3 linked regions of the Arabidopsis thaliana genome follow. The protein of the gene in region 1 binds, or shares a complex with, the protein of each later gene. Each region holds a gene or a part of one and is shown in the gene's direction. Other genes may lie near its edges.

What was found.
Region 2: AT5G40340 (region 1) and AT5G27650 share a complex: the UniProt entries of both Arabidopsis thaliana proteins name them as parts of the PRC2 (polycomb repressive complex 2) complex.
Region 3: AT5G40340 (region 1) and AT5G02950 share a complex: the UniProt entries of both Arabidopsis thaliana proteins name them as parts of the PRC2 (polycomb repressive complex 2) complex.

The regions. Positions count from the first base shown.
Region 1 is NC_003076.8:16,130,859-16,137,359, reverse strand, and holds AT5G40340 (Tudor/PWWP/MBT superfamily protein), read left to right. Parts: upstream 1-1,966; 5' UTR 1,967-2,500; intron 2,501-2,667; 5' UTR 2,668-2,679; coding exon 2,680-5,706; 3' UTR 5,707-5,963; downstream 5,964-6,501. UniProt on the Arabidopsis thaliana protein: Together with PDP1, PDP2 and PDP6, interacts with MSI4/FVE and MSI5 to suppress FLC, MAF4 and MAF5 expression by regulating the function of the PRC2 complex and modulating H3K27me3 level, thereby promoting flowering.
Region 2 is NC_003076.8:9,783,512-9,789,895, forward strand, and holds AT5G27650 (Tudor/PWWP/MBT superfamily protein), read left to right. Parts: upstream 1-1,895; 5' UTR 1,896-1,999; coding exon 2,000-3,149; intron 3,150-3,514; coding exon 3,515-5,583; 3' UTR 5,584-5,843; downstream 5,844-6,384. Other genes in the region: TIF3B1 (translation initiation factor 3B1), read right to left, coding at 1-55, 329-553, 651-888, 1,139-1,248. UniProt on the Arabidopsis thaliana protein: Together with PDP2, PDP3 and PDP6, interacts with MSI4/FVE and MSI5 to suppress FLC, MAF4 and MAF5 expression by regulating the function of the PRC2 complex and modulating H3K27me3 level, thereby promoting flowering.
Region 3 is NC_003076.8:688,963-693,640, forward strand, and holds AT5G02950 (Tudor/PWWP/MBT superfamily protein), read left to right. Parts: upstream 1-1,722; 5' UTR 1,723-1,846; exon of another isoform or gene 1,847-1,969; 5' UTR 1,970-1,990; coding exon 1,991-3,889; 3' UTR 3,890-4,137; downstream 4,138-4,678. Other genes in the region: AT5G02940 (ion channel POLLUX-like protein, putative (DUF1012)), read right to left, coding at 627-712; AT5G02960 (Ribosomal protein S12/S23 family protein), read right to left, coding at 4,318-4,458, 4,547-4,673. UniProt on the Arabidopsis thaliana protein: May influence gene expression by regulating the function of the PRC2 complex and modulating H3K27me3 level.

The DNA.
Region 1 (6,501 bases):
TTGAGCTTTAGCAATTCGCATGAAGAAATAAAATTTGATGGTTAATTTTTGATCCAAAAATCATCTGATTACTAAAAATAATAAAGAAGAATAATCGGACCGACAAGGATATTATTCGTGGACGACAAAAAGTTTGGCAAGGGAGTGAGTTCACTACAGTAAGACGGCATATGTATTTAAGGATTACCAAACTTTTTGCTTTAGCCAAGGAAGCTTTTTCTCAAGAGCCAAGAGGCACACTTGTAAAAATATATAATCAAATATATGTATATATCAAACTAAATCAATACATATCAAATGTTGTCCTTGCATATACACAAGTAATTTCACATATGTGATAGTGATAGTGGTAGAGATCATCATCTTAGTTGAGACTTAATTAAATATGAACAATCAAGTTCGCTATTGCATCTATATATGTTTTTGCCTTTATTTCTAATCATGTAGATTAAGATCATTTTTATGATATGCGTATAAATATTGTAGAAAAGATTAAGGTGCACAATCTAGATTTGGATAGATAGAAAAAGTAGAGGCATTGGTTTAGCTATCATATGTTCTCATCACATCAAGAGACTTGGATCTTAATTAATCAATGTTTCCATATTTACTGATAAATAAAAAAGTTATAAAGTAGACAAACCGTTGATATAATTTTTCACGTCCAAAGAGAGTACGTAGATCACCTCATGACCAGGTTGCTTTATAGTGTTTAGATTGTATAGCATTCATATTCTGACTGAATCTCTAGAACATATGCTCAAATCATTTCGTTTGGAGTTTTGACCCATCCTCAAATCATATTATATATGCATTCTATGCAAGTACAAATATGAACCATTACATTTTGTTGAATTAGGTTGCATGTCTTTTTAGTTTTGCCCACATGTTTTTCGTGTGAGAATTGTGAATTCCCCATGTGAATCATAAATGAAAAGATAACATGGTGGGTCGTTCACAACTTACAATTCGGAATTATTTTAAACGTGTCTGAATTCCCTTGGCACTGTAATGATCCGTCTGTTACGTTGCCTTGGGCCTTGGGCTTTGGAGATGGACTAATATTTACACAAGTTGGGTTCAAGGTCATTGAGCTTTCTTTCAAACTATGATTAAGTAGTGGGAAATATATGATTCATATATCACTATTACTTGGTATTACAGTTCTAATACAGATTATACAGTTGATTCATATTGGTTCGCCGTCGATACTACATATAATCATGTCATGAGAACGTGTTGTTCGTGTAAAATTAACACAACAAGAAAATTACGTTTAGATGTATCAAATGTTATCCTAACAGATTTCACATGTTATATAGTCTCAACGAAAAAAATTAAAACATTTAAACTGGGTCAAAAGATGTATTTAAGCGATTTTCTTATATGGTGTAACATAAGTTGACCAAAAAGATTGAATATGAATTAGTGTGAAGATTGATTCAATGACTAAATCTAGTTTAATCATAAAATCTAAACATTTATCTTTTTTTAATAAAACTCAAACCGATAAATAATTTTGTTTTAGTAACAAATTAGATTTTATAAGTAAATTAATTTTTTTATTATTATTAAATGTCAAATTTTAATTGAATAAAATAAAAAAAGTGAATATAAGGGTTCAACTCAAATATTTTTCAATTCAATATATATAACCAAGATTTTCGTTACCACTCCACTTAAGTAATGCAGTGAATGAAAAAGAAAAAATAATCAGTGTCTAAAATCAAAATACCGTTGGTCAGTTGAATAATGAAAAAGAAAAGATCTTTGATTTTCCTTTTACTTGGTAGATTCCTACTCTTTAGGATTGAGGTTTTAATAAAAGACTTTAATCAACAAGCACTAAATTTAAGATACTGGTGTTGTGTAATAATAAGTTTGGGCCGAGCAAAAAAAGAAAAGGACTGGGCCGAGAAACGGCAAATATTTGTGTCGTTTCAAATACCAAATTCAAAATCTCCATTCTTTTATTACTCTGCTTATTAGCCGTCTAAGCATATTACAGCTGTCAATCATCGAAAGCATGTGACGCGTCTCTCTTATTTCATCCCACTCGCGTTCATATACACGTGTTATCTACTCTCTATCCGATTTCCGCCACGTAAGAATCTAGACACTGATGTTCTTATACACATAGCGAGTAAGCTGTATTTTACACTCTCGTAGCTAGTCAGTTTATTGTGATAGCGACACGGCTGATTTAGGGAAATAAATTAAAAACGTTGTCTTATTCCTGGGGCAAAAAAAAGCAGATAAGTAAGCAAAAAAAAAAACTCATTAATTACGAAAGTACCCTTAAATTTCTCCGAAAGGAAATTTTTGCGCCGCGTTTCATCTTCTCTCAAATCAAAATCCAGAGAGAAAAAAAAGAGAGGATTTTTCTCATGAGATTCTGAGAGTGTCTTTGTTCTTCTTACAAAGAAGTGTTTTTTCTTGAAGATTCTTCGGTCGCTGTTCGAAAAGTTGTTGTTTCGTTTCTCTCGGAGCTCAAAATCAGGTAAAAAATTTGTTACTTTATATTTTCGTTTTTCTAGGTTTTTCGTAAGAGTTAACCTAATTTCAAAATTTGTTTTTTTGGGAGATATTGTTGGGTTTGTGTGTAAATAGTTAGGTTGATTTTTTTTTCTGATTTGTTTGTCGTTTTGTGATTTTTTTTTTCTACAGTCGGGAAGAAAAATGGAAATTGAAGTTGTTTTGGGAATCGGAGAAGATGCGGGACCTAAGCCTTGTTCTGCAGAGATTGAATCAGCTGAGAAAACCCTAAAAGATGATGGTGTTGTTCAAGAGAACGGTGTTAGGGTTTCCGACAACGGTGAGAAAAAGTCTGATGTTGTTGTTGATGTTGACGAGAAAAATGAGAAGAATTTGAACGAATCTGGAGTTATTGAAGATTGTGTTATGAATGGAGTTTCTTCCTTGCTCAAATTGAAGGAAGATGTGGAAGAAGAAGAAGAAGAAGAAGAAGAAGAAGAAGAGGAAGAAGAAGATGGCGAAGATGAAGAAGAAGAAGAAGAAGAAGAAGAAGAAGAAGAAGAAGAAGAGCATGGATACTGTGTAGGAGATTTTGTGTGGGGAAAAATTAAGAATCATCCATGGTGGCCAGGTCAGATTTATGATCCATCAGATGCTTCAGATTTGGCTTTGAAGATAAAGCAAAAAGGGAAATTGCTTGTGGCGTGTTTCGGAGACGGGACATTTGCTTGGTGCGGTGCGTCGCAGTTGAAACCGTTTGCAGAGAGTTTCAAAGAGTGTTCGAAAGTGAGTAATTCGCGGAGTTTTCTAGGTGCAGTGGAAGAGGCGGTTGAAGAAATTGGTAGACATATTGAGCGTGTATTGGTATGTGATTGTGCTGAGGAGAAGAAGCATGAGTTTGATAGTCCTTTAGTTAACAATGCTGGGATTAAAGAAGGTGTTTTGGTGCGTGATGTGAGACGGGAAATGATTTCGTCGTTGTTGATTGGTAAACATGGAGAGATTCTTAAAGATGTTAAGAGTTTTGCAGAGACTGTTAGTTTTAGTGGCTTGCTTGAGCTGGAGATATTGAAAAGGAAGGTATCTGCGTTTTATCGGTCTAATAGAGGATATGGTTTGACTGAGTATCATGAACCTCAATCAGTTCCAGGACTTGAAGACAAGAACAATGATGATGATGATGATGATGAAGAAAAGAATGTTAATGATGGGTTACAATGGCGTGCTAAACGGTCTAGAGTAGAAGAAGTAGCAGCTTTGGATCATGAAGAGTCGTCGTCTCTTCAGAGATCGTTAGAGAAGTGTTCTGGTTTTCCTGATCATAGGCTTCCCCACAGAAGGAAGGAGAAAAGCATTACTGAAATAATTGAGAAGGAGTCAGCTGCTAAGGTTAGGTTTGAGACAGAACCTGCGGATGGAGATGTAAAGTCAAATGTTAAGTCGGGTAGGAAGAAAACAAAACGCCATGATGAAGTTAATGGTGATCTTGAAAATGTAACTACTACTGCACTGTGGAGGAGAAGAAAGAGTGAAGTAGCTACAATTGAAGACGGTGGTAACAAGCAAGTGGTAGAAAGTAGCAAAGGCAAAACTTCGAGGAAGAAGAAGAAAATGGATGTGGATGATGGCGATGATGATGGGAGTGGAGACAAAGAAGAGTCTGAGGAAAAAGAGATTTCAGATCTGGAAATAAATATCGATTCAACTTCATTAGCTTCGCTGCGGAAAAAGGTAAGGTTTGATGATTCAGTCGTTGAAAGGAGTACTGAAAATGGCGAGACCGCTACACAAACATCAAAGAGAGAGAGGAAGAAGAGCAAGTATCTCTCGCCTGATTTCTTGTCAGATTTTTCACGGAAAGGAAGAAAAAAGAGTACAATCGAATCTGAATCTTCGAAAGTTTCAAGTCAGAGCCAAGTAGACGAGCGAGTGACTGATGCTAGTGATAGCCTCATGGAAGTGGAAGAAGATACGTTGGATAAACCTTGTGAACCATCATCTGATAATGGATTAGGTCAAGAAGAACTGTCTAGGGAACTTAGTAATGCCGTCGACTTTCTGAGGTTGGGAGCTACACCAAAGGAAATGCAGGATCTAATTCGTGTAGCTGCTCTTGGCACACAATATCCAAAAGACAGTAGCTCAAGAGACATGGTAAGAGAATTCATGACCATCTATAGAAGCTTCACATATCATGATGGAGCCAATCACAAGTTCTTAGGGAGCTATGATAGTTCGGATAAAGAAAAGGAAGAACTGAGTGAGATGGGTAAGCCTGTAACTAAGGGGAAAGAGAAGAAAGATAAGAAGGGTAAAGCAAAGCAGAAAGCAGAGGAGATAGAGGTAACTGGTAAAGAAGAGAATGAGACAGACAAGCATGGGAAAATGAAGAAAGAGCGAAAACGTAAGAAGTCTGAATCAAAGAAGGAAGGGGGTGAAGGAGAAGAAACCCAGAAAGAGGCTAATGAGTCAACAAAGAAAGAGAGAAAACGTAAGAAGTCTGAATCAAAGAAGCAATCAGATGGAGAAGAAGAAACTCAGAAAGAGCCAAGTGAGTCAACTAAAAAAGAGAGAAAACGTAAGAATCCTGAATCAAAGAAGAAGGCAGAAGCAGTTGAAGAAGAAGAAACCCGGAAAGAGTCTGTTGAATCAACCAAGAAAGAGAGAAAACGGAAGAAGCCTAAACACGACGAAGAAGAAGTCCCGAATGAGACTGAGAAACCCGAGAAGAAGAAGAAAAAGAAGAGAGAGGGAAAGTCTAAAAAGAAAGAAACTGAGACGGAATTTTCAGGAGCTGAGCTATATGTTACATTTGGTCCTGGTTCAAGTTTGCCTAAAAAGGAAGATCTGATTGAAATATATGAAAAATTTGGAGCTTTGGACAAAGAGAGAACTGATACGGTCGACAACAACTTCTCTGCCCATGTGGCTTTCTTGGATGTAGCTGATGGAGAAAAAGCCTTTGAATCCTCACTAGAGAAATGTCCGTTTACTTCTAATTCGACGGTGAAATTCAGACTCAAGTATCCAAATGAGAGAACAGAGGAGAAGAAAACTGAAGCTGAAGTTGCAGAGACGACAATGGAGGTGGAATATCTGAAGAAAAAGCTGGATGAGATGAAATTGTTACTTGATGGATGCGAAGGAGGAATGACTGAAGAAGTGAAAGTGAAACTTGAAGGTGAGATGGTAAATTTGTTGGAGAAAGTGATAGAGATGAGATCTTCTTAGGATTATGATTTTATGTTTTTATTTTGTTGGTTGAGAACTTTCAGGACAGGTTTTAGGATATTTATGGTTTCTGCAAAACATAACAAAAGTATTTTGAGAGGTTAATGTCTTGGTGATACTATGATCTTGTCGTAGGGTAGACAGAATTAGATCGATGTTCTATGTTTTTGTGTAGACTTTTTTAAAGTTTACCAACTTTGATACTAAACCCATTAGTGGGCTTTTGGTTTATCACTCTCTTGAAAGCCCACTAATTTTATTATATTACAAACAAAATTTTCAAAATCCTTTCGACGAGTATTGAATGTTTGATGAAGCCATACAAAGAGGGAGGTTGGAGATTTTTATTAGAAAGGGAGTCTCGTCGAGACTGAATCATTTACGTAATGCTAATTAGTGATCCAACAACATAAATGTTCTAAGACAATGAACAAATTCAACCATTTGATTGATCACAAAAAATGTATCCAGATAATGTATAAGAGTTAATTAAGATATTTGGCCAATTTCAAATTCAATTATCAAATTCAGAACATTAGGCTTAATCATGTTTGCTTGTTCATGTTTGCTTGTTCGTTTTTGCGTTAGTTCTCGGAGAAGCTGTAGACTTCTATCTTTGAGGTTTTGTGGACGGACCTTGAATAATCATGCTCGTGGCAACTAGGATGAGGATTCCAATACTTCGGTACTGCGGCAACAACGCAAATTTCCGAGCTTCGCGGACTCGGAATCGGTGTTTCTCCTCCTAACTTGGCCTTGATCACTCATCGGCGATCCTTTGCAATTAGAGTTGTA
Region 2 (6,384 bases), 6.3 Mb from region 1:
GAATGACTAGCTGGTCTCGGGCTTTTTCATCAGTAAGCCATTTTTGCAAATTTTCCTGAAAAAACAAACACCATATAAGTAACGACAATTAGCACCACAAAAGGCTGCAATGAATTAAAATATATACATGAAACAAGAGTTATGAAATTATAGTTATTAGTTAGTATACATCAATTACGTAAAAAGATCCTAACCCTAACGCAGCAGGCAAACACAAAATAAATCAGCGAATTACCAAAATAAAGAAGTGATTACACAGACACAATGGAAGTTATTCAAAGAAAATTATTCAAGGTACAGGGAGTAACATGATGAAAACTACACATACCCCAGGGACGTAGGGCCTGGCCTGAGGAGGCTCCCACTCCTCCTTCACATTCATCAACCTGTCAAAATCATCGAACATGTTTACAGCAAAGATGTGAGACTTGTCCAACTTGTAGCCATGAGACTTTTCCTTAGCGTTTTGTGCTTCCTGCAAAGAGCCCCAGACATTGAGAGAAACTCTTAGGAAATACTCAACCATTAAGAACAACCTAGTTTGGGCTCCTTTCTAACAAGAGAAATAAAGTATTGAAACATATGACGCCGACATTATTGCTTCAGAATCCAACAAAACAGAGATTAAGCTAATCAAGTAGATAAATAACCTGAGGAGTGTTGAACTCAATAAAACAGTAGCCCAATGTCATCTTGGTATCGGGATCAACAGGCATCCACAGTCCATTTTCCTTAATCACACCTAACTGGTTGTAAATTTTCTTGACAACACCTTCAAGTTTCTCAAACTTCTCCTTGGGAACAACAGGGAGGTGATCGACCACGATAATGTTACCGAATCCAGTGTCGAATTCAGACTGGTCATCCTGGTAAACAGCTTCATCATCACTACAACCATCACAGAAAAAAAAAGTGTATAACGAATCAGTTCCATTTTTCATACGTTCATAGATAAAATGTATAAATATAATAAGCTTTGCACCATCAAGGAAAGAGATAAACCAATTCGAAATACACAAAATTTTCATACATACAATAGCAAAACCTAGAATAAAATCATCCCATCGTATAAACACAAGAAGATTAGAAATAGAAGTGACCGTATATGAACAACCAGAGATCTAAAGGAAAATCTCACCTCTCGATCCCAAAGTCTTCTCCAGGAGGAAGTTGGATGGAATCAAAATTAACCTGAGACCAATCAATCCCTAACTTAGCAGCTCGGGCATCAATATCAACGACCTCCATGATTTCAAACCTTATATCAAAAATCTGCCAAAGAAAGCCATATAGAGAGAGCTATCAGTCTTTAACACATTCCAACTTTAAGTCGATAAATAAATGTGAAAAATCTGAGTCTTTAGATCTAAAAGTAGGTTTTTTGTTAACCCTAAACAAGTATTAAAACAACAAACTACCATGGCCAAATGTTCAAAGACTAAAACTTTGAATCATCACTCCCACTATAATGTAAATCTAAAACCATGCCTATAGAAATTATTAACTATACTCTAGTTTTATTTAATCTAGAACCCAACAACAGGTGAAATGGAGAAAAATGGCAAAATTTTCCTGAAGGCTCTCTTATATCTATTGCATCGTTCTGGATCCTGTCTCATAGCTACATAAGAAAAGACAAAAAAAACAAATGAACACTGAAATCGAGATAAGAAACGTACCCAATACAGAGATCAGCCGAGAGCAAAAAACAAAGAAGAAGACGGCGCTTGAAGGTGAGGAAGAAGGAGCGATTGTTTTCAGGTCTTTTTGGATCATACGACGTCGGTTCCTTAAACGGGCTTATAAATATTTATATGGGCCGGGTAAGCCCAATTCAATAGTAATCAGTAGATCTAATTTATTGTCTTTCTCTCGATTAGCTTTTTTTTTTTTTTAACAATAATCCGTCTCTTTCATTTGGTGTCCTCGAGAACCAAATTCGGATAATCTCTCATCGGAGGATCGTTGTTGTTGTTGCTAGGGTTCTTATCGATTTGTAATGTACAAAACTAAATTAATCCCGGTGATGAACGAGGATGCTGTGATTGTTCAACAAACGGATTCGATTCAGGATCCTAAGGTAACTCCAGATGATACTGTAGTTGATTCGAGCGGGGATGTTCACGAAGCCATTGATGATGATGTTGAAGCTTCTTCACCTATGGAGCTAGATTCGGCGGTTACAAATGACGCTAGGGTTCTCGAAAGTGAGAGATCGGAGAAAGATGGTGTCGTAGGGAGTGAGGAGGAAGATGAGATTAAAAGCGAGGATGTTTTAATTGATAAGGATGATGAGAGTTCTGAGGTTAAAGAAGAAGAAGAAGAAGAAGATGGCTCTGATGATCAATCTAGTGAGCTTGGTTCTGAAGCTGATGAGAAGGAATTAGATTTGGGTTTGAAGGAAGAGAAAAAAGGAGTTTCGGATTATAAATCTCTTTTATCTGAGTTTGATGATTATGTTGCAAGTGAGAAAATGGGTTCTGGAGTTTCGAGGGCATTGAGTTATGGGTTTGAAGTTGGAGATTTGGTTTGGGGAAAGGTAAAGTCTCATCCTTGGTGGCCTGGTCATATATTCAATGAAGCTTTTGCGTCTCCTTCTGTTCGTCGTATGAGGAGGATTGATCATGTTCTTGTTGCGTTTTTCGGTGATAGTAGTTATGGTTGGTTTGATCCTGCTGAGCTTATTCCTTTCGAACCGAATTTAGAGGAGAAATCACAGCAGACGGTTTCGAAGCATTTTGTGAGAGCTGTGGAGGAAGCCAAGGATGAGGCGAGTAGAAGGTCAGCTCTTGGTTTGACTTGTAAATGTCGGAATCCTTATAACTTTAGGCCTAGTAATGTGGAAGATTACTTTGCTGTTGATGTGCCTGATTACGAGCTTCAAGCCGTTTACTCTGTTGATCAGATTAAGAATTCTAGGGATAAGTTTTTACCCGCTGAAACCATTTCGTTTGTGAAGCAATTGGCGTTAGCACCTCAAGAGTGTGATCCAGACAGTTTAAAGTTTATGAAGAAGAAAGCAGTGGTTTTTGCTTTCCGCAAGTCAGTGTTTGAGGAGTTTGATGAAACTTATGCACAGGCCTTTGGGACAAAATCACCCCGCAGTTCAGTGAGTACGCTGGAACCTCATAATAGAGCACCGCCTCGAGGTATTAGCCACTTTTCAGAAAATCATGTTATTGTTTGTATATGGGTTTTTTCGTTGTAGACTTGAAACAGCTTTCATATGTGTTACATAGATATTAGATACTGTAACTTGGTTTTAGGGTTTTACTTTTAGATCCTCTGTGCTCATGATTTTAGGATTTATATCTTTGTAGTTGAATTCTTTACATAGCATGCTTGAAAGAATAGTGAAGTCTCATTGATGCTAAACTGTGCATTCGAAAACGTGGCCTGATAACAATTCTGCGCCTCTTTCTACTATGGAGAGTCCCGCATACATTTACCTTGTTTGCTTTATTGTTCATTTTCTTGGTGGGTGATGTGTTGTTTCAATTTCTCTTATTTCCAGCTCCCTTGAGTGGCCCACTGGTCATAGCAGAAACGCTAGGTGACCTTAAGAGCTCTAAAAAACCCACAAAGGTTAAGGTCTCTAAAAAAAAAGACAAGTATCTTCTCAAACGAAGGGATGAAGCTGGTGATAAGTCTGTTCAGTTTGGCGAAATTGAAGCAAGTTCAGAAGCTTCTCATATCCAGGGAATTGATGGATCTTTGGATGGGGATTTTGGGCTGCAGAGAAGAGCTCCGACGCTTCAAACTCCAATGAAAGATGAGAAGTCTGGGATCGTCAGCATGGATTTTGCCTCTTCAAATACAGCTATTCCTGGTAAAGAATTTTCAGCTTCAAAGCCCTCTCTTGATGAAGAAAAGGGTCTAGCTGAAAAATCAAAGGAGAGAATGGAAGAAAGAGCTGCTGTACTTCCAGAGCATGGGAAATCTGAAGCTATGGCGAGTCTTAAACCTAAAGAAGAAGCTGGAACAGATCTTGGATCAGCTGGAAGTTCTCTCCAGCCTCTGCTTGAGTCTCATACCTCAGCATCTGAGGGGAAAAGTTCCACAGGGTCTGTAATCAAGAAAGTCAAAGTTGCTAAACGATCTTCAAGTGAAATGAGCTCGGAGAATCCTCCTTCAGAGCCAAAAAAGAAAAAGAAAAAGAAGAAAGAGCCTGATTCTGACCATCCAGTGAAGAGAAAAAATTTGTATTCTGGGGAAGCTGGGGCCAAGAAATTGTCCCAGCTTGGTTCAGCGCATTTACAAACCTATATGGAAGCCGATGTGCCGCAGCTGTTGAGCCATCTGCAAGATCTCTCTCTTGACCCTTTCCACGGTTTATCCGTTGCTTCTTTTGGAACTGCTAGGAAATTTTTTCTCCGTTTCCGTTCACTTAATTACCAGAAAAGCTTGTCTGTATCTTCCTCTGATGCTACTGTCGAAAATGCCAGAGACACAAAACCCTCAAAACCTGTCAAGACAGTGAAGAGAACCGAAGACCCATCAAAAGCTGGAAAAAAACGGCTCTCTTCTGATCGTCAAGATGAAATCCCATCAGCTAAGAAGCTGAAGAAAACTAATCAGTTGAAATCAATGGCTTCTGAAAAGAAGATCATTCGAGAAGCAAAGGATAGTATAAAACCAATAAGAGAGCCAAGCAGGGTGGTACAAGCAAAACCAGCCAGAGGTCAAACCGGGAAGAAAACAGCTCCATCAGTTAAGGTGGTTGAGCCAACAATGCTGGTCATGAAATTCCCACCTGGCACATCTCTCCCTTCAGCCGCATTGCTAAAGGCGAGGTTTGGTCGCTTCGGGCTGTTAGATCAATCCGCCATTAGGGTTTTCTGGAAATCATCGACCTGCCGTGTTGTCTTTCTGTACAAAGCCGATGCCCAGACTGCTTTTCGATATGCAACAGGAAACAACACTCTATTTGGAAACGTGAATGTAAAGTACTTTCTCCGTGATGTGGATGCTCCTAAAGCCGAGCCTCGTGAGCCAGAAAACACCAAGGAAGATGATGAACCACAGAGCCAGTGGTTGGACCAAGCACCACCGCTTCACCAACCAACATTACCGCCACCAAACGTCAACCTCAAATCCTGTTTGAAGAAACCAGTTGATGACCCGAGCAGTAGTAGCAACAATGGAAACGGTAACCGCGCAGCCGTAAGAGTCAAATTCATGTTAGGTGGTGAAGAAAACTCGAGTAAAGCAAACACCGAGCCACCACAGGTCACAATGACCTTGAATAGAAACAGTGGACCTTCTTCATCATCATCATCTGTTCCAATGGAATTTGTTAGTAAGAAGTTTCAAAACGTTGTTCATCATCAACAGCTTCCTCCTTCTACATTGCCTCCAATTCTTCCTCTCCCTCCACAATACACAAAACCACAACAACTTCCCATTAAACCAGTAGACCACGTCGAACCACCAATGCCACCTTCAAGAAACTTCCGTGGCCCGATCCCAGCGGTTAGCGCTGGGGACATCTCTCACCAGATGCTCAACCTTTTGTCAAAATGCAACGAAGTAGTGGCTAACGTCACGGGCTTATTGGGCTACGTCCCTTATCATCCCTTGTAACAAAACGAAGCCCGTTGAGAGAAAATGTGAGTGTTTGTTTGGTTTTTGGTGATAATATTGTATGTTAGGTATTAGTTTGGTTCGTTAACTTTAAATCATGTATTACAATTTATAATGATGAATCTCTCTCCCTCTCCCTCTCCCAGGCTTGTTTTATATTTCGTGTATTATTTTTTGAAGTTGTATGCTTTTGATATTTGATGCACTATGCGGAACCAATTCCATTGTTGTGTTACGTTATATATTCTCATTTGGTCTTAATCTACTTGGTGTAAATTTAGGCCTGCCCAAAATGGCTGAGCAAAGTTGAAAATTAAAGCTATAGGAAGAAATTGTGATTACAGTAAAAAAAATATAAAATTTTGATCTTATTCAAAAAAAAGGTAATTTTTATTACCTCTCTTTAAGTTCAATACAACAACATCGACATGGATATTGGATTGTGAAGGCGAAAGAGAGAGAGAGAAAGAGATGGCACGACTTGGTACCAAATACGAGTCGAACTCTTGTCCTGAAGTGTAGAGGCCTAAACCAGTACACAACCAACTGGACAAGGTTAGATTTGGTGGAAAGCCTGCCTGTTGGTATTACTTTATTCGCAAAAAACGAACATTAATTTTAAATGAATATAATTTGCTACGTCTCACTTTTTAGTTCCGTTATAAAGTGGTCGAGAAAGGAACCATGAGACCAAAAATGAAACCAAAATAAAGAAATTCAAATGAAGCTAAAATCCTATTTCAACACATTTGGTTGAATATCGTGAAGTTTCCATTACAAAACTGTCTCAGTCGTCGTCTC
Region 3 (4,678 bases), about 15 Mb from region 1:
AATCAGAGATACACAACTTGTAAACATCACAACCCAATGAGCTTTGATTGAATGACAATTTCCAGATTTTGAATCAATTTACGATATACCTTTATCTTACAAACCCAAATTCCATTTGAAACTAAACTCTAAACCCAAATTCAGAGCTCCTAACTAAAACCGTCACATTTTCTAATCGAAACCATTGAACTTGGCTACATTTACTGTAAGCAAAACATGAAGTAAAATTCACCGGAAGAAGAAACAACAAAAATAAACTGTGATATATGCCCAAGCAAGTTTTGAAGATAAGGACGAAGAAGACGCTGACGGAACTAGAGGGTTCGGATTATAAAGAAAAGAAGAGAAGACACAGAAATAAACAGAGGCATTGGCATTTCTTTTAGAATATAGAATTTGTTGAGAGGAGTTACTTAGTATTGATCGCTTAAATGATAAATACCGTGTTCTTTAAGTATCTGTATCAGTTGTTTGGAAATAAAGAGCTTGTTTCTAACAAAAACACTCAAAATCTTCTGAGGATCACAAACTTCACAATCATCATCTTATCACTTATGGATAAAGTCACCACCATGCAATTGTTTTCAGAAATATCAAGTATAAGAAAGAAATTACAAAAACAAAACCTGTGAAAAGAAGCTAATCGATCTCTTGTCAAAGCTTGAGAAGGTAGAATCAATGGCTTCCAGGTAAACAACTGAACAGCCACCATCTTTCTTAATCTTCTCCTTGATTTATCTTACGCTCTTTTTGTTTCTCTCCTTATATATGTGGGTGGAGTATGGACACAAGGCTGGTTTTTTAGATTTTTGCGTGATTATTTTGTTGTTGTTATATTGTTTTGGACCATATTAGTTAGCCCGTGGGGTGTTATGAACATAAAAACAAATCGACTAATTTTTTTTTTGGCTTAGAACTTCATTTGAATAGGTAAACAACGCAGAGGAATCGCGTCCATAGAATAGAATATAATAAAAACAAAATGGTACTCTTATCGCTTTGAATTTTAACTACTTTCTCTTATTCCACTCACTATTCACGTTTTTATATACATACATACATATAAGAGTACATGTGCTAATAGCTGTCCAAACAAAAAAAAGAGTACATGTGCTAATAAACGACTATTTTTTAGTACTTTTGTTTCAATCGTTAAAATCTCATCCACAATTTTGAATCTCGAACGTTACTGGCTCCCAAAATATCCTCTCAATGTTGAGACGCCACATGACATAACAATAAAAATGACAAAGACATAACAAGAAAATGGATTTTGCATTTTTTGACCATTGAGAGAGCTAAGCACTTTACACAATAAACGGTGTTATTGTGTTTATATATGAATTGATATATTATTTTGTTAGTCTATGAGGAGTATTTAAAAATATCCCCAAAAGAGGTTTTTCAAAATATCACTTTTTAGTAAAACATACTATTAAACAAGTTTAGAAAACTTATAAAAAAGTGTCTTAATGTTGTAGGAAAACATTTGGTTCTCATTAAACATAAAATTAACAAATTTAATTCTTTAGAAATAAACTAGTTGTAGTAAAATTCTAATCTACTTGTAGTAAAATTCTATTCTATTTAATATCAGTAAAAACAAGTCAAATTCAAGTTCAAATAAAGAGGGAAAAGCAAAAGTTTGAAAATTTTGAACCTCACTCAATGTAATAATGTATGGTTGTGATGAGTCGAGACAAAATCAAGTACTGCCACGTGGAATAATTCGTGACGTACACGTAGCTCTCTCATAAACCCCCTCAAAACGAAAGAAACTCTGTTATTTCTTCATTACCCAAAATCTAAGCTTTCGTCGCCGGCGAAACCGTAACCGCCACCGGAGGTTCTGTCCACCTTTTTTGCTCTCCGATTATTTTCTTCGTCTCTCGTATGATGTACTGTTTTTGCTTTAATGGAAGCATATACTGAAGCAATTTCTGCTTTTTTTTGTTTCTTCGTTGTCTAGGGATTTTTGTTGGTGCTCGTTATGTCTACGGAACCAGAAGGAGTCGAATCTGACTCCAACGCTGATTTTGCCATAAATGCGTCGAGTTTTGACTACGGTATGGCTCACACATCTGAAACCCTAGCTGATCCCATGAGCTTTCAAGCTCAGGACTTGGTAGTGAACCTCACTGGAGTTGAGCGAAAAGTATTTGTCTCTGCTCGTGATGATAAGGATAGTCTCTGTAACGGGGTTGATTTTGATGCTGATTCAGATCTGCTTAAGAACAAGGATAAGAAAGGATTTTCTAAAGAGAATCTGAAGCTTTTTGACTCAGATTTGGTTTGGGCTAAACTAAGAAGTTATCCATGGTGGCCTGGACTGGTCTTTGATAAATCTGTTGCCTCTAAAGCTGCGATGAGGCACTTCAAGAAAGGAAATGTCTTGGTTGCGTATTTTGGGGATTGTACATTTGCTTGGAATAATGCATCTCAGATAAAGCCTTTTCATCAGAATTTCTCTCAAATGCAGGAGCAGAGTAACTCCGCTGAGTTTCGTGATGCTATTGATTGTGCTTTGGATGAGGTTTCAAGGAGAGTAGAGTTTGGTTTATCTTGCTCTTGTGTTTCAGAGGAAGCCTATAACAAACTCAAGACTCAGAACATAATCAATGCTGGAATTCGTGAGGACTCAAGTGTTAGATACGGTGGAGACAAGTTATCGGATGGAATCTCTTTTGAACCTGCTAAACTTGTGGATTATATGAAGCATTTAGCTTGCTTTCCTTGCTATGATGCGACTGAGAAGCTGCAATTTGTGATTAACCGAGCTCAGGTATTGGCTTTTCAACAATGGAAAGACTATTCTCACTTCATTGACTATGAAACATTTGTAAGGTCGGTGGAATCTGCTGCGACCCTGGCTTCTCTCCCAGAAGTAAATATGGATGAAGGAATATCTGCCAAAAAGAGAAAGACAGATTATAAAGATAATGCTGAACAGACAAAGGAGAAGACTTTGTCAGATTTGACTGTAAAGAAACGCTGTGGGAGCAGATCAACTGAGAAATTGGATGGTAAGTCGCATTCTGAAAAGAAGCGTAAGGTTGAGTCTTCGGAATCTGGTAAGTCTGAGAAAAGGATCAAGAAAAGTCAGCAAAAGGAGGATTCAGTGTCTAAACACTCTAATGAGGAAAGTCTTTTGTCAGTGGGTGATACTAATAAACTGCAGAAGACGGCTGAACCGTGTCATGGAACTGGAGTGGAAAATGAGATGAATTCTTTAACTCCTACACTTAAGCCTTGCCGTGCTTCTAAATCTACGGAAGTTGAGAATGAGAAGACTAAGAAGCCGAGACATCAAGAGCTTGCTGAAAGAAAGATTTCTTCTCCTGATGAGATGCTCTCAAGCCTTCACGCTGCCAATACCTCAACGGGAATACCTGATTCAATCAACATAGACCCCTCGAATTATGAAGATTTTGAAAAGTTCATTAATGAACTGTTTTGCAGTAAACTCAATGGTGACTCAAAGAAGGCAAGTATCACTGAGACATCAGAACCTTGTGATAAGAAAGACTCTGCAGAAGAAGAGATATTACCTGCAAATAAAGAAATCACTGGCTCAGGCTCGAAAGAGCAAATTGGTCTCAAGGACTGTTCTGCAGATTCATTACCACCCTATGCTTTAGTCCTCAACTTTGCGGATTCAGGTTCGGTTCCATCTGAAGAAAAGCTGAACGAGATATTTAAACGTTACGGTCCTCTCCATGAGTCTAAGACTAAGGTCACGATGAAGGGTAAGAGAGCCAAAGTTGTGTTCAAAAGAGGGGAAGACGCAAAGACTGCCTTTAGCAGCGCAGGGAAATACAGCATCTTTGGACCTTCTCTTCTAAGTTACAGACTCGAGTATGTTTGCCCCAAACGGAAAAAAACAACATGACTGATTGAGTCACGGCATCTCTTAACTTTCAGAGATTAGGGTCTGATCAGATATCATCAGCTAGGTCTTATGATGAGAGTAGATTTTCGATAAATAAACGTAACCTAGGATTTATGATGAGAGTAGGTTTTCGATAAATAAAAGTAACATTCGTGTGATGAGACTAATTCTTAACTTTATGACATACAAAACCAAAACTGGAAATACCAATGATAACAGTAAAGTTAGTCGCAACTGAAGATGAGGCTTATAAGTTAAAAGAGTAAATTGATTAAACACCAATAACATTAAACGATCATGTCTTAATTCAAAAACTCATAAAATGTAACACAAAATCAAGTTCTTGAAACATAAAGTAGAACAGAACAAGACTTAAACTGAACTATCAAAAACCATATCAAAAGCTTGAAGCTTTTTGTACGGGTTGCTTAAGATCTTGGCTTCTCCTTCTTTTCCTTGAAGAGGGCCAAGAGTGAAACACCAGAAACCTTCACGACCTTGAACCTAACTCCGGGAATATCTCCCACAGCGTGACCCTTACGACCAAATCCAGCAATCAAGACCTCATCCTGCAACACCATAAACAAGAAATGTATCAGCATATGAATGAAACTAATCCATAGTGTGATGATTGAATAGTCATTTCATGTGACTTACGTTTTCCTCGATGTAGTTCAAACAACCATCATTGGGGACAAAGGCAGCAATCTTCTTTCCATTCTTGATAAGCTGAACTCTAGCACACTTACGGATAGCAGAGTTAGGCTGCTTAGCCTCAATACCACTGCA